Alligator mississippiensis: one gene and its partner. The protein of the gene in region 2 purifies or fractionates together with the protein of the main gene of each other region. This does not show direct contact. Links are inferred from orthologs where the notes say so. Each region holds a gene or a part of one and is shown on either strand. Other genes may lie near its edges. The genes, in order: CLGN and SLC12A2.

The links.
Region 1: the proteins of SLC12A2 (region 2) and CLGN purify together in Homo sapiens (co-immunoprecipitation; 3 studies listed by BioGRID and IntAct, with this or other methods). This does not show direct contact. The link is inferred for Alligator mississippiensis from reciprocal best matches to the Homo sapiens genes SLC12A2 and CLGN.

What each region holds. Positions count from the first base shown.
Region 1 is NC_081825.1:104,596,335-104,604,027, reverse strand, and holds the start of CLGN (calmegin), read right to left. Parts: upstream 3,104-7,693; 5' UTR 3,014-3,103; exon of another isoform or gene 2,986-3,013; intron 1-2,985. UniProt on the Homo sapiens protein: Functions during spermatogenesis as a chaperone for a range of client proteins that are important for sperm adhesion onto the egg zona pellucida and for subsequent penetration of the zona pellucida.
Region 2 is NC_081826.1:215,903,125-215,911,599, forward strand, and holds the start of SLC12A2 (solute carrier family 12 member 2), read right to left. Parts: upstream 3,580-8,475; 5' UTR 3,470-3,579; coding exon 2,975-3,469; intron 1-2,974. UniProt on the Homo sapiens protein: Cation-chloride cotransporter which mediates the electroneutral transport of chloride, potassium and/or sodium ions across the membrane. Plays a vital role in the regulation of ionic balance and cell volume.

The DNA of each region.
Region 1 (7,693 bases), on a different chromosome or scaffold from region 2:
AGAGCATAAAGCCCCTACAGATGTTATATTTGCTGCATATCGTATGCAAACGTTGCATGACAAATCATAACATGCCAACTGGCCACACAATATTGCAGGATACTTCTGCACCACAAGATGTTTCTGCTTCAACAGCCAACTTCTTTGTTGCCGATTCACCAATTTTATGCAAGGATAAACCTGGCACATTATAATTTGTTGTGCAATACTGTACATAACACGTGACAAAAGTAACGTCAGTCATGGGTCTAAGTGGTTAAACCACGGGGCAGACTCAGAAGGACAGTGAGTTGTAGAGAGGACAGTAGGATCTAAGGCATACAAAAAACTAGAACTCTTGGTTCCAAAATGATACCTTTTATTAGACCAACTGGAAAATGGAAAGAAAACTGTCCTTTTCTGCAAGCTTTTGGGATCAAAGTCCCTTTGTCAGGATCTGGAAAAAGTACACCCCTGAAAAGTACATGCTCCAGGAGGCAGGGTGCTTTAATTAGAATGGCTCCAAGAGCCGCTCTAATCAAAGCTCCCGGATCACAACATGCATCAGCATCTCTGTGCTTAAAATGGCAGTGAGGGCACTTCAACTAAAGCTTGTCTTAAAGCTTTAGTTAAAGCACCCCACTGCCATTTTTCCATGCGAGGACACTGATACACATGATGCTGGAGTCTACTGGAGCACGGTAATTACCACACTTCAGCAGACTCAATTAATCGAGTCTGCCCCAAACGCACTGTAATTACAACACATCAGAGCAGCCTTAATGCACATGTATAGGTGCCCTAACATTCTACACAAGCAGCCCTAAACATTATTTTTATGGTTAACTTCAGCTTTGGACGCATTATTTACCCACCTAACAGGAAGTGAAACTTGGATTTTTGTTTTAGATTACATTTATACTTACAGTAAACTTGCTCTGGCTAACAAAAGCTTTAAGAGAAAACTATGAACCTATCCAGACAACTTGACTGAACTAATCTCACCTAGATAAGAGCAAATTCTAATGGAAAGCAGGGCAACTCCTACAGTTCTCTTCTCTAGAGTGGGTCCCTAGGATACATCTATACCACCTCCAAAGCAATCCCAAGAGTATCAGTGAGAAATAAGCCATACTTACCTATGCCCAGTATATATACATGCAAGCCCATAAATTACGTAGCACAGATGCCTCAGAAATAGTCCTAAGCACAAGTCCCAGCACCATACTCAGGCTGTTTTAAGAAGGTCTAAGTGTGGCACTATGGCATATGCTCAGGGCCACTCCTGAGCCATGTATGTGACACAGTTTGTGGGCTTGGGTGCACACAGGGCAGCGACCATGCTCACTGTTAAAGCAGCACAGAAATACCATTAAACCCTAGTATCCTTCAACCCTCAGTTTACAAGACTGCTAGCATTGTCCTTTTTTAGCTGAGCAGCTAAACAAAATGTGGGCCTTGTTAATTATTCCAATGAGGTGTAGTGATTGGTAGCAGAATCAGGTTTCTTTCATGTACTTCTATTTACAAGAATGCAATCAAATCTTTTCCAAGCACAGGAAAAAAAAATCCAAACCACCAGAGCCTTCTTGCTCACAGCTCTAAAACTCTTCCAGCCTACTCCCAAGCCCACAAGACCACTCTCTAGGGGTCTCCCAGGGTTACACACAATGCCCTTCAGACTACATCCACACTTCCTCCTTCCGTCTCGGCTTATGCACCAGCTCACTCTTACTCCACCTGAGCTTCCATCCATCCACTGGCACCTTCTCTTTGTTCCCAAATTAATACCCAGGAACAGCTACTTCACTGGCATTTCCCTTTCTGAGTGCCTGTGGCAGAAACACGTGCTTCACCTTCTCTTGCTGCAATCTCCAATGAAGAATGGAGTGAAACACTATGCTCCTTGTCAAGAAAAAACATGAGCTTTACTTCAGCACTGCCTGGTCTGGCAGCCCCTCTTCATGAGGCCAGCTCTGGTCACTGGGTTTCTAAAGCTGCACCACGGAAGCCCCCAAACTAAGCACAGACAGTCAAAAAGCCCGAGGCTGAATCAATTCAACTTTGCGGCTTAGCCTAAGCTGTGTAGGTTGAACTGATAAGCAGGTGAACAGACATTCACTTTTGATTCTGGAAATGCATCCACATGCCTGCAGTGTCCCAGGCCACAGGCTGGGGGGGGGCCTAAAGCATGCCTCCCTGCTCCACTGGAGCAGACAGCTTAGGCCAATGCTAGCCCGCCCACCCTGTGAGGTGGGGTTTGTGAGGGAGGTGCAGAGCACCCCAGGATGCTGGGGGACCATGAGTTAACTTGAATCTGGATAACAACAAGGATCCAACACTCGCACAAAGTGCTGGAATGAAGCAGAGCTTCTGGGCCCACCACAGACAAGCTCATCTGGAGGGCAAGGCATCAGGAGGATGCTAGAGCCAGGGCTCCTCCTCCCTCCCCGGGGGACGGATTGTATCTGATCTCATCGCTTAGCAGCGGGGACAGGAGAAGCGATGGGCTCGAATTAACCCTCTGCACTCCCCAGCCCACGAGAGCTGCTCCTCAGCCGGGAATTAGGGGGGTCCTGCTTATGCCCCTCACGAGAAGTAGCTAGTCACTGCTGAGCGCGAAGGCTCTTCCCACTATAGGGGCGGGGGGCGGAAGCGGGGGCCGGGTCCTGCGCGAGCCCCCACCGCGGGGGGGGGCGGGCTCAGAACGCTCAGGGCCGCGGCGTTCGAACTGCCCCAACGGCCGTGCCGCACACCAGCCCCCGCTTCAGGGGGGCGGGCTCACAACGCTCTGGGCCACCCCGTTCCAACGGCTCCCAACGGTCGCACCACGTAACCCCCGCCGAAGGGGAATGGGGAGAGGGAGGGGCGGCCGCCTCCCGCTGGGATTAAGGCCTCTACGCAAACGTCCCCGTGAGGGTGGTCCTCCTGCCTCTGCCCGCGTGCCCCTTTCACACGGCGTCGCGCCCCCTCCCCCCACCTCAGCCCGGGTCCGCGCGGATTTACCGGCGAACCAGTCCCGCAAGCCGCTCACTGGCAAAGCCCGGCTGCTTTTCCTCAGCGCGAACCGCGCATGCGCCACCTGTCCAAAGCTCCGAGGGATGCTGCAGCCGAGTAGCAGGTACTCTCTGTGGCGCGCGCGCGCCTCCCCACCCGAGCCAATCAGACGACTCGGTAGGGCGAAGCCGTAGCCAATCCGCCTCCGGCACTGACAGGCCGAGCGAATCGGAACGCAGGCGCACGGGGAGGTGGGAGAACTCGCGCCAATCAAAGGGCAGCGTGGCGTCTAGCCGCGGCCAATCGCGGCTCAGTCCGCAGCTGTCAGAACGCGAGGCGTGCTGAGCGAGCTAATTGTGGGCCGGCGTCTCTGCAAGCGCAGAGATTCAGTCAAGTTCTAGGCCAGGCTTGTTCAAGCCATTTTATTTGGCCCGAGGCGGCGGCGGGGCCGCGGCGAGGCGGGCAGGGCCGGCCCCAGCCGGCAGCAAAGAGAAGGGAGCTGCTTACCCCCGCGGGGCCGGGGGGATCCGCCCCATGCGGAGGCCAAGCAGCCGCCGTTGCCACTGCCGGCCCACGCCTGCCTCGTCACCCGCCCGCTTCAAGCCAGCCCCGCTGCCCTGCCCTGCCCTGCCCTGCCCCACAGCAAGGCGGCGCCTGCTCCCCCGACGAGCTCTTCCCCCCCCCCACCGCGCTGCTGCTCTCCGGCCCGGCCGCCAGCTCGCGAGGCCCTGAGGGGGCCGCTTCTCACGTGCTGCTGGGGACTGGAGGAACCCGGCCGGGTCTGCATCGGCCAGCAGAAGCGGTGGCGGAGCCGTGTACTGCTCGGGACGGGACGAGCCTGCGCCGGTCAGTCCCGAGCGGCACACGGCTCCACCACCGCTTCTGCTGGCCGATGCAGACCTGGCCGGCCTCCTCCTTGTGGTAAAAATACAGCATAATCTATACACCTTGCTTTTGTAATTGCTTATGCACTCCGCATGTTTTCACTCTCTCTTCCACACTTATCACTAAGACAAGTAGACTAACAATTGATTTACGAATAGAACTAAAATTCTGCAGACGGAGCCAGGAACGGATGCAATAAATAACTCCTTACAAGAGATAAGCGAAGAGTGACAGGGAAAAATGTTGATGCTAAGAAATTTTACCCTGACCGAAGGATGACCAGAGGAGCTTAAGAACTGCCCCTGGGAGGGGATTTAAGATGTAAATGAGACATGTATGTAAACCGTCATAGAACATGTAACTGCTAGACATACGATGCAAGACGTAATGCTAAGTCTGCCAATAATTGCACGATACGTTGAAATCTATTGTTTACCTTGGCTATAAAAAGAAGTTGCAGACACAATTTGTGGTCGACTCTGATTTGAGCTCAGCTCCTGGGTCAATCTGTTTGCAAACAATAAATCTGAAATTGGACCTAGCCTGTGTGTGTGACTCTCTCCTGGGGTGGATTGGACAAGCCTCCAGGGGCATGAAACTAGCCGTTTGTGCAACATCCTGTCCCCAGCAGCACATGGGAAGCTGGCTTCAGCTGCATGCTGCTTTTCCTGGCCGGTGCAGACCCGGTTCTGCCCAGGCCAGTCCTGCAGCACCATATCAACCCAGGCATGGCACTGGCAGGCCAGGCAGGCCCCAGGTTAACCCTGGCCTGGCCCCTGACTTCTCCAGCACCAGGTCAACCCGGTTGTAGCCAAGCGGCTCCTGCAGCACCATGTCAACCTGGGCACGCATGCCATATCAACCAGCACCATGTCAACCTCTGCAACTTCACTGGTGTCAAAGGTCACGTGACATCACTTCCTGATATGATACCACTTCCTGTGATGTCTTTGAATCTGGCTGGCCGGCCCACTGGGTGATAAAAAGTTTGTGAGCAGCCTCACATTCAAAACCCCCTGATCTAGGCTATGAATGGGCTGGACCCGCTATCGCTCCCTGCTTGGCCCTCAGGATTTCAATGAGTCCCCCTGCTGCAGGCTGCTGCCTGGGGGAAGCTCCACCTTACACCAGCGGGGCTCAGGCCTTCTACACTGGAGGCTTCCCCTTCCCCCCCCGCCCAATCAGGCTTGGGAACTGAGCAGCCCCCAGTTCAAAAAGGAACTGGTTGAGTGCAGTGCTTACCTCCTGGGACAGGCTGGGCACTGGGTGGGGGGAGGAAGGGGAGCAGCCAGGTAGGGACTGAGCCTGAATCTGAGCCTGCAATTTTATCTTATCACCTCACACCTTGCAGCACTCTTCAAAGGACCTCACAGCACCCCTGGGTGCCCCAGCCCCCTGGTTGAGAATCACCGTACTGCATTTGAGACCATCCTCAGGACACTTGACATGTGGGCCTCTACACCTTGAGGCTCGCTAGTTCTAGCTGAGTGCTCTTTGAGAGTCTCAAAGTGACACCACTTGAGGCACAGGTTAATCCAAGCCCACAGAACAGGACAGCCGGAGACATTCAAGATACAGATGGAATATGTAATTCGTTTTGCTTATTGTATAAAAAGATTTGGAAAGCAGAGGAATTTTGTAGTGGCCTGGGGGGAGTCTGTGTGGTGGTGTGCTGAGTGCCTTGTCACAAGTACAAATGCCTTAGGTCCTGGTCTGATGTACTTGTTAGGCCAAAATGTGTTAGGGCTGTGCTTGTAGACAATAAAACTGGCCAAATCTTTGCCACCGAACTAAGCCTGTGGTCTTTCTTTAAGGCAAGATTAGTGTTGAGATCTCCTGGCTGTGACTTGCAGACACTGCAGTTCCTGAGACTTCAATACTGAGAACATATCAATAACACCCACGAGGATGACAGCAACAGCGACACCAATAACCCCAGACAACACTGATTTCTAACACTATATTTCATTTTCTTGCTTAATATTCATGAAGCTTTTGATACATTTTGTGAAACTAAGGGAATTCCCAGCCTTAAACCTACTTAGAAAATTATTTAAGACCATTAGAATAATTGATAAAAACTGTTAACAGTAAAAACCATTGTAATGATGTAACTCTAGCAAATTGCATAAAACTTCAACTAGAACAACAAATTCCAAGAGGGAAGACTTTGGGGGAGACACCAGAACATGCATCTACCCTGCATGTCTATAAATAGTTTTTAATGATGAATCAATTTAGTTGTATGACTGTTATTACCCAGAACACTGTACATGAAACATGATGGAAATCATCAGTTTAGTAAAATTCACAGTAAAGAAGAAAGTGTGATTAAAAAGAACTGAAAGCAGCAATGAAAAACAAATATAAAGTAGCTGGGGAATTCAGATATTCAAGAATCCTAGTATTCAAGCCAAAAACCCTTGTACAAGCATGCACATTAGAATAAAACTTGTGGGCAGAGCTGAACATGCAAGGTAATAGATATGGAAAAGTGAAGATACCGGGTTTTGTGGTCTCCTTTAGGGAAAAATAAGAATGAGAATATTATAATGTGCTACAGTAGTTCATCCCAGCTTCTAAAGCAAAAGGTCCTAGCATTACACAGAAGTCAGGATCTAACAAAGAAGACAAGAACAAGAGGTGTGCTTGAGATACCAGGCTATGGACAAAGTCTGTAGTCAGATGCCAAGTCAAGTCTACAGCAAGAGACTGGAATGCAGGAGAGACAAAGCAGGGTCTGGTGTCAAGGACCAGAAACCAAGGGATCCTGGCAGGAAGCAAGGCAAGGCGATGCTAACAGGCCTGGAGCACTTACAGACAGAAATCTCAGTATGGTGTGTACTAAAGGGCAGGTGCTAGAGCAGTCCCTTAAATGAGGAACTGGAGCCCTAGAGTTTGCTAAAAAAAGGTTGTCTTGCAACCCACCAATGATAGCTAGCTTGTTAAATTGAGGAACAGAGATTTAACTATTAGAAGAAAATAAGTGACACTTGCCAGTTAACTTGAATCTGGATAACAACAAGGATCCAACACTTGCACAAAGTGCTGGAATGAAGCAGAGCTTCTCGGCCCACCACAGACAAGCTCATCTGGAGGGCAAGGCATCAGGAGGATGCTAGAGCCAGGGCTCCTTCACCCTGTGAAGAAGCAGAGTGAATTAGCCCACGTGGAGGTCTGTGCTGTTGCAGGTAGGTTGCTTCCAGAGCTAACTTTTGAAGCTAGATCAGGTATCTGTACCCTATGCCATGCGCAACCTAAACATACTACTGATATATTCTGTGGGTAAGAAAAAAAAGTCCCTTCAGATAAACTGAGGATCCATATTGACCCCGAATTACTGAACAGAGCATTGAAAAGATGTCTGTCACTACTCATTATCAAAAGATTGTGGATGTATTACCCTATTTGCACAGGATAAAAGCATTGCTTGTTTTGCCATTAAGAATTAGTCTTGGCTTATTAAGATAACTGAACAATCCAACCACTTAACATCTACCACATCTTTGGGCAGGAATACCTGTAAATAGCAGCCTGACCCTTGAGATGTTTCAGTAGAGAGACTAAGATGGGTACAGAAGGGAGATCCAGGCACCAATGTTATATGTAGTGATAGTCTCACTGTAGAAGGAGGTGACAATCCATGACAATGGAATGAAGCTGTGTCAACAGCTAAACAGGTGGTGGGAGTGGAATATTTAGCTTAAAAGAGACAAGATGAAGTTCAGGAGAACTGAGGTCCTCTACTTACAATATCTGTTGACTTCTGAAGGACTGCAGCCAGACCCTGAGAAACAGATCCATTAAGTAATTGCCCAGACCAAAGACTGTG
Region 2 (8,475 bases):
TTACGTGCTTTAGTTTTGGCCTAGTTAGAACAGTCTAACTATAAAAATACTGTCTACCTCCACACACTGCTCCTACATCCCCTCCCCTTCTTACCCACCACCCAGTCAGGGTGACAACTCAAAACAGAATTTGACTTAGGTTTCCTGTTGAAGTGTTTAAGATGTTGTGGCTGTTTAAAACTGATGTAGTTTCAGAATACCAAAAGGTCATGGGGTGGTTGACTGAGAACAAAGCAGTTTCTTCAATCACTATACTCTTTTTAAAAAAAGAGAGAGCGATCCTATCTGTAAAGCCCAGTTCCGAGTGCTGCTGTCAGTTCCGTATCTCCAAGGTGTCATTTACCTTAGCTTGCAAAAAAGAAGAATATACCCGATTATTTAGAAACAGTGAGATGTTGCTAATTTTCTCACACACACGCACACACACACACACACGTGTGTGTTATATAATAAAAAATAACACACACATTATATTTCAGTATGTATGGAAAGCCACAAAAAAGAAGAAAATTATCAATGTCTCACTGTTTCTAGATAATCAGCTTATAAGAATGATGTACGTAGTAAGGAAAGACAGGAGAAACTAAAACAGACCAATTATGAAAAACAGTTTAAGGATTTTTTATGTAGTTGATGTATTACACCTACAGCATTTCAAAGGAGCACAAAGTATTTCCATATAAATGGACTTTAATTGTAGGTTTTAACATTACATTTGTTAAAACAGGAATCGCATTCAAACCTGTTATAAACTACCCAACATTTAGCACTATGGGTAGGAAACATGTCAAGCTGAGATCTTGACACCTTCCCCCCAAAGCACAGCCTCCTAAAGGCAATAGCAAAATTTACCTGGATTCCAAAAGTAGAGAAATTGGGGGGGGGGGGGGGGGGCCAGCAGACAGGAGAGGAGGAGTGAGGGAAGTGTATCAAGATTTCATTCCTAGGAACTACTGGATATCATGCCTTCTCTTGCCTTGACATTTTTCAAACTTCAGCAATAGTTTCCACCAGACCTATGCCTCATACAATCTTGCCTGCGTGTTGTTCTCAACTCCTGCAAAGGTCTGCAGTGAAGGGCACAAACCTGCAGAATTCAGAAACTGATCAGCAATACAGGTTAAATGAACTAGCATCACAACTCAAAGAGGCATTAAACTTAAGGCAATGGAGAACCCTGCCTTAAAAGGAAGTCAGGTAAGAATTCAATTAGAAATATATAGATAAAGAGAATAGAGATAGCTATAGCTATGTGGTATGAATCAATTACCAGTACAAAGGAAAGCATTATTTCGTCTCGAGTAATTCACTATTAGAAAGACGGCTGCTAATACAGGGCACTTGAAGAATGGAAAAAGAGATTAAGAAACCTAAGACTTCCTTCCCCCACTACCCTCCATCCAAGGCATTTTAACAATACATAATGCTAACGTTGCAGTTGTGATCCAGAGCAAAAGTAGTCTTAGCTTCCAAAGCCAAGAAACATCTAGACCAGATCCATACACCAAGCATCCATTTGCCCAGAAAAAGGCACCGGGGGGACCCCATAAATGTATACTGGCTCTGACCTCTATCACAGCCAGAACAAATTTAATTCCTATGTGAATTAGAGCATCTGTTAAGCAGAGCTGCATGCTGCATGACCCTTTTAACGTCATTTGCCACCAACATGCCGGCTGCTCTAAAGCAGAGGAAGCTGGCAGCGACACAGCTCCAAGGGCTTAATGATGAATGGGAATGAGGCAAGCAAGGGACAGATGGACCACAGCAAGGCAGCCTTCTCCCTCCTCCCAGGAGCAGTCCAGAGCTCAGTAGGGCAGCACTGGCAGGAGGGGGGGTGCAGGAACCCTTGCGAGGAGGGCTGACAGGCCAGAGGAAGTTGCCTGCTCAAGCCTTCCCGCTTCCTGAGCACCTCCCCACCACCAGTCACCTGCGTGTGTATATAATGCTAATAATACAATGCAAAATTTGAGCCCAATTCCCTCTCAGCAACTCCACTCATTTCAGGGATGTTGCCCTCTGCAGCAGCACTGAGCTACAGACAAGCGTATTGAGATCCGATCTCAGGGGGGAAAAGAAAAAAAAAAAACCCCTTGGTAACTGTGAGAGCAGCAGAACAAGGAACAAGATGCCAAGGGAACCTGCAAAATCTTCTGCCGGTTCAGTAGCAGCTGCATCTGTCTGCCTTGGGGAAAGCAAGGGGCTGAACAAGACCCTGTGGGTCCCTTCCAGCCTGGAAGGGGAGGATGAGGGATGCACAATGCTGCGGTCTGTGCACCCAGCCCCATCACAGCTCCCTCCTGCCTCCCCATGTGGATCCAAGTGCCTGTCAAGACTGGGTAACTGTGAGAGCAGTAGGACAAGCAGCAAGATGCTGAGGGAAGCTGTGAAATCTTCTGCCGGTTCAGAAACGGCTGCATCTCTCTGCCTTGGGGAAAAAGCCAGTGTGTGCCTACTAGGCTGGACAAGACCATGCAAGTCCCTTCCAGCTGGAAAGGGAGGATGAGGGATGCACGAAGCCGAGTCTGCGGCCCCCATGACAGCTCCCCCCTGCCTCCCCAGGTCAGGAACTGCAGGAGCAGCAGGAAAGGAACAAGATGCAGAGGGAACCTGCAAAATCTGCCAGTTCAGCCGGGGCTGCATCTCTCTGCCTTGGGGAAAGGCAGTGCGCGCCTACCGGGCTGGACAAGACCCTGCAGGTCTCTTCCAGCCTGGAAAGGGAGGGCTAGGGATGCATGAAGCCGCAAGAGCAGCAGGACGAGGAACATGATGCCCAGGGAAGCTGCCAAGTCTTCTGCCGGCTCGGCAGTGGCTGCATCTCTCTGTCTCAAGGAAAACGAGGGGCCGGACAGGCCGCCGCTGGTCCCTTGCAGCCGGGAAGGGCAGGATGAGGGATGCACTCAGCCGGCCCCACGCCGCCTCGCCACGCGGAGGCAAGCGCCTGCCAAGCGCCCCGGCCCCGGGGCTGCCTCACCTTGTCCAGCTCGTCGTGTAGCTCGGCCAGGCTGGGCCGGATGAGCTTCTCGCCCAGCTCGGCAGCCGTGTGGCGGTAGTGGTCGATGCGGGGTACGGCGTCCATGGTGTTGTGGCCGAAGGTGCGCAGGTAGTAGGTGTTGGTGTGCGTGTCGTAGCAGTAGTGCGGGGCCCCGCCGGCGCCGCCCGACACCAGGCTGCCCTCGCTGCGCACCGTGTCGCCGCCGTTGGGGTAGCCCGGCGCCTCGGGCTCCCCCGGGCTCTCGGCCGACGGATCCACGAAGTTCACCCGGAACCGGCCCTTGGCCTCCGAGTCCTCGCTGCCCCGGCCCGGCGCCCGCCCGCCGCCGCCCTCCGCCACCAGGTCCACCTGGAAGCGGCTCTGGCTGGCGGTCGGGGCCAGCGGCCGGCCCAGAGCGTCGCCGCCCGCCGCCGCCTCATCGTGCTGCTGCTCCGCCGCCTTGTGCCGCGATGGCGCCGGCTGCTCGCCCTCCATGGCTGTGGCTGCGGCTGCTGCTCGCGAGCCCCGCGCGGCCCGGCTGCTTTAAACCGCCAACCAGCGCCCGGGGCTGGCGCCGCGCCGGGGCCGGGGCAACGCGCCGCCGCGCCCGCCTCCCGCTCCCGCCCCGCCCCGCCCCGCCGCGCTGCAGCAACGGCCGCGCCTCGCTGGGGGAGGGGCGGAGCCCGCAGGCCGCCCCAGGGCCGGGGGGGCGCGGGGAGGGGGGTGACGCCGCCTCCTGCCTTCTCCGCTGGCCGCGTTTGAAAAGTTGCCGGGTGCTTCGGGGCCCGAGATCTCGCGAGAGGAGCTGGACCGCGCGTGGCTGGGGGGAGGGATGGGGAGCTCGTGAGGAGATGCTGGGTGCGAGCCTCCTCGGGCCGGTTGAGGCTGAGGCGGGGATGGGGCACCTGTCCCTGCTTGCCTTTGCCCCTCCCCGCCCCGCCCCGGTTCTTACTGCCACCCAGCAGGCCCCATGTAGCCGGGAGCACCCGACCCTCCGGCCCGCGGGCCAGATCTGTGACAAGCGGACTCCCCTGCATGTGGGAAAGCTTGGCAGAGGGGGCAGCTGCATGCAGCAGGGTATAGTTTGGTAGGGGTTGTTGCAGCAAAGGGGGATCAGGAACAGGCCTCATCCCCCAACCCCCCTTCCACATCTGGATCTGGCCACACTGCTCCTTCTACTCCCTGTCTCCCCCCACCTCCAGATTGGAGCTGGGCTGCTTTGTCCAGATGGGAGCCAGTCCATCTTCCACTATCCAGTGTGTCCAGATCAAGGCTGTCCTTCCCTGCCCTGCCTCATCCCACCCCGACCCTGAGCATCAGTAGGAGGACCAAGATGGTCCCCCCACCCCAGCTCCATGTCAGGATTGGGGCTGTTCCACCCAAGGCGTCCAAATTAGGGCCACTTCTCCCTGCCCCCAGGCATCTGGATGAAGGATGGGGCCTCGCAGCCAGATCAGGCCCATCAGCTGGATCCAGGCCACAGAAGAATCTGGCACCGCGCATCTGGGACAGAGTGAAAAGGTTGGGCACCACTAGCCTAAACCAGTGATTCTCAACCAAGGTGCTAGGGCCCTTACAGGTGCTGCAAGATCTTTTGAAGAGTGCCCTGAGGTGTGAGGAAATAAAGCACCGGCTCAGGCTCAGTCCCTGCCTGGCTGTTCCACTGCCCATCCCCCCCCCCGCCGCAAGGAGGCAAGCACTAGAATACATTTTTTTTAATAGATGCCTTGAGTCTAATGAGGGGTGCCTCAAGTCTAAAAAGGTTGGGAACCACTGCCCTAAAACTTGCTGTTCAGAAGTTGCCTGAAAAACCATTGGAACTGGAGAAATTAGTGGAGAGGAGATGAGTCCGTACAAAGCTGAGTGTCATGCACATAGCAGACATTTGGGGATAACTACCTAAGGAGAAGAGTGCACCAGGCCTACCCTAGAGTCAGCATTGAAGATTACCTATCTTGCTTGCTTTCCTTGTCATAATAACACCAGCTCTTTCCATTTACTCCAGCACACTCCCAGTGTCCCCCTTCAGCAGCTCTCAAACTATCCCGGGCATCTGTTGGGCTTCCCTCATCTGCCTGACCCTCCCAGGCAGGTACCACTTCTTACCCTTCCACCTCCCCTGCATCACTGCGTGCTGATCATTAGCCTTCTCGTTGTCCCACGCATGGAAGGAAAGAAATATTGAAGCAATTAAGTGCAACACTTTTAAAAAGTATGCAGGTAGAAGTCCAGCAGCAGGGCAGGGGCTACCCAGTTTATTGCACCAGGTGCAATGTGTATGATTACTTGCCAGGGGGCAAGTTCCATATGTGCGCACCTGGTGCTAGGACTGGCTCTGAGAGAGCAAGTGCATTCTCTCCAGGTTAGGGTGGCATAACTGGAGCAGCTACAGGAGGCAGAGAGGTTCATAAATGCAGCTTTCAGGGACATACCTTTGCTGCAACAACCCCTGCCAAGCTAGACCCAGCTGCATGCAGCTGTCCACTCTGCCAAGCCTTCCCACCTGCAGGGGAGTCCCACCTCCACTGTAGCAAGTGCCATGCTGCTGAGGAAGATGAATGCATCAGGGATTGAGGGCATGAAGCTGGGAAGAAGAGAAACTGTCTTAGATGGGACTCACCTTCCAGCTGATGTTACAGCATCCTCTTGCACCACGGGTATTCCTCCAAGGGAGGGAACTCCACAGGATAGGAGACAGGAGTTGGTAGTAGGGGATTCAGTTATTAAGCACATAACCAGGTTTGTGACCTCCAAGAGGATTGCATGGTGACTTACCTGCCAGGTGCAAAGGTAACAGACCTCTCAAGATGTGTAGATAAACTGCTAGGGAGGGTTGGAGAAGAGCCAGTGGTCATGGTCCATGTAGGTAAGGGTAGCAGGTAGGTCCTGGAAGCTTAATTTAGTCTGCTAGGTAGGTGGTGTAACTCCAGGACCACTATGATAGCATTCTCTGAAATGCTTCCAGTGCCACATGCAGAACCAGATAGACAGGCAATGCTCCAGAGGCTCGATATATGACTGAGACAACAGTGCAGGGAAGAAGGGTTTAGGTTAATTGGGAACTGGGTGACCTTTTAGAACAGGGGGAGCCTGTACAGAAGGGATGGTCTCCATCTGAGCCAAAATGGTACCAAACTGCTGGCAAGTAACATTAAAGAGGTGGTAGAGCAGCTTTTAAACTCAACATGGGAGGAGAGCTGGCAGATGCAGAACTGCATTCAGACTGACGCATGCTACAGGGTTAACACCATAAAAAGTGGGGATAAGAAATAGGGTGAAGACAAGCACAAGTTAACTTTAGGGAATAAAAGGCGACACACAAGTAACCAGCCAGGCAACAATAAAAAGTACAGGTGATTGTATACTAATGCTAGAAGTCTAAGATCAGAGGTGGGGGAATTTGACTGCTTAGCAGTAAATAATGATATTGACATAACAGATATCTCTGAAACATGATGGAACGAGGAAAATCAATGGGATGCTGTAATATCAGGATACAGATTATACAGGAACCATAGAGTAGGTCATACTGGTAGGGAAGTGGCACTCTACATCAAGGACTGCATCAAATCAAATAGGTTAGATTTTTCACCCGATATGAGAGGGACTATAGAATCTTTGTGGATAGAAATCCTGGATTTAAATAGAAAAAAAAGTATGTCTAGGGGTATACTACTGACCCCCAGACCAAGACAGCAGTAATGAGCTGGAAATGCTAAGGGAGTTGAGCTGCTGCAACAGCAGAAAATGCAGTAATAATGGGGGGCTTCAACTAGACAAATAGACTGGGTCAGTCTAACACCTGGCCAGGATGCAGAAACCAAATTTCTTGATGTTATAAAAGACTGCTTCTTGGAACAGTTAGTACTGGAACCTAAAAGAGGAAAAAGGTAATTTTTGGGCTAGTGCTAGGTAGTGCACAGGATTTGGTGCAAAAGGCAAGTATTACTGAGATGCTTGGCAAAAGTGACCACAATGCAATTGGATTTGGCAGCCATGTAAGAAGAGAGACAAGAAAACCTACCACAGTGGCATTTAATTTTAAAAAGAGACTACAACAAAATGAGGAAGCTACTTAGCCGGAAGTTAAAAGAGGCCCCTAAAGAAGTGAAAAACTTGCAGGCAGCATGGGAACTGCTTAAGAACACCATATAGGAGGCACAAAGCAAATTCATATTACAAATCAAAGAAATGGAAAGCAAAGCAAAAGAAAGCCAGTATGGTTTTCTGGCATAGTTGCAGAGGCAATACGCAGAAAAAAGGCTTCTTTCAAAAAGTGGAAGTCAAATCCTCATGGGGAAGATAAGAAAGGGCATAAACACTGGCAAAGCAAATGTAAAACTGTAAAAGGACAAACTAAGAAAGAATTTGAGTATACAAGTTAATGGAGATGACCCAAGTTGAGGTTTCAGTAGATGAGGTCATAGAGCATATTGATAAATTAAATAGTAGCAAGTCACTAGGACCTGATGGCATTCTCCTTGCGGTCCTGAAGGAGCTCAGATCGGAAGTTGCTGAACTCCTAATTGTTGTGTGCAATTTACCACTAAAAACAACCTTGGTACCAGAGGACTGGAGGGTTACCAGCGTGAATCCCATATTTATAAAAGGTGTCAGAGGGGACACAGGGAACTACAGGCCAGTGAACTTAACTACTGTCCCTGGAAAACTGGTAGAAAAAATAATGACAGAAAGAATTGTTCAGCACATGGATGAACGTGACTTCCTGGGGAGAAATCACCATGGCGTTTTCAAAGGGAAATCATGCCTCACCAACTTACTATAGTTTTTTGAGGATGTCAGTAAGCAGTGGATTGGGATAATCGAGTTGACAATATATTTGGACTTCCAAAAAGCTTTTGACAAGGTCCCCCATCAGAGGCTCTTTAAATCACAGGATTACAGGGAATGTCCACTTGTGGATTAGAAATTGGCTCAAAGAAAGCAAAGAGTGAGTGTAAATGGTCAGGTTTCAGGATGGAAAGAAGTAAACAGTGGGGTTCCTGCGGGGGGGGGGGGTGGGGGGGGTGTCTCTGTTGGAACCAGTGCTGTTTAAGATATTCATAAATGATCTGGAAAAGGGGGTGAGTAGTGTGGTGGCGAAATTTGCTCATGACACCAAATTAAGCAAAGTGGTAAACACCAAGGTGGATGGTGAGGAACTACAAAAGAAGCTGGCATGATTGAACAAATGAGCAACGAAATGGCAGATGCAATTCAATGCAAATAATTAGAAATTGATGCACCTGGGCAAAGTAACCCAAACTATACTTACACTATGATGGACTCTACATTAGCTGTTACTACACAGAAAAGAGATCTGGGGTCATTGTGGACAATTCACTAAAAACACCGGGTCAATGTTTAGCAGCCATCAAAAAGGCAAAACAAAATGTTAGGGATTATTAAGAAGGGAATAGTAACCAAAACAGATAGTATCATTTTGCCCCTTTATAAATCCACGGTGCAGCCATACCTTGAATACTGTGCCCAGTTCTGGT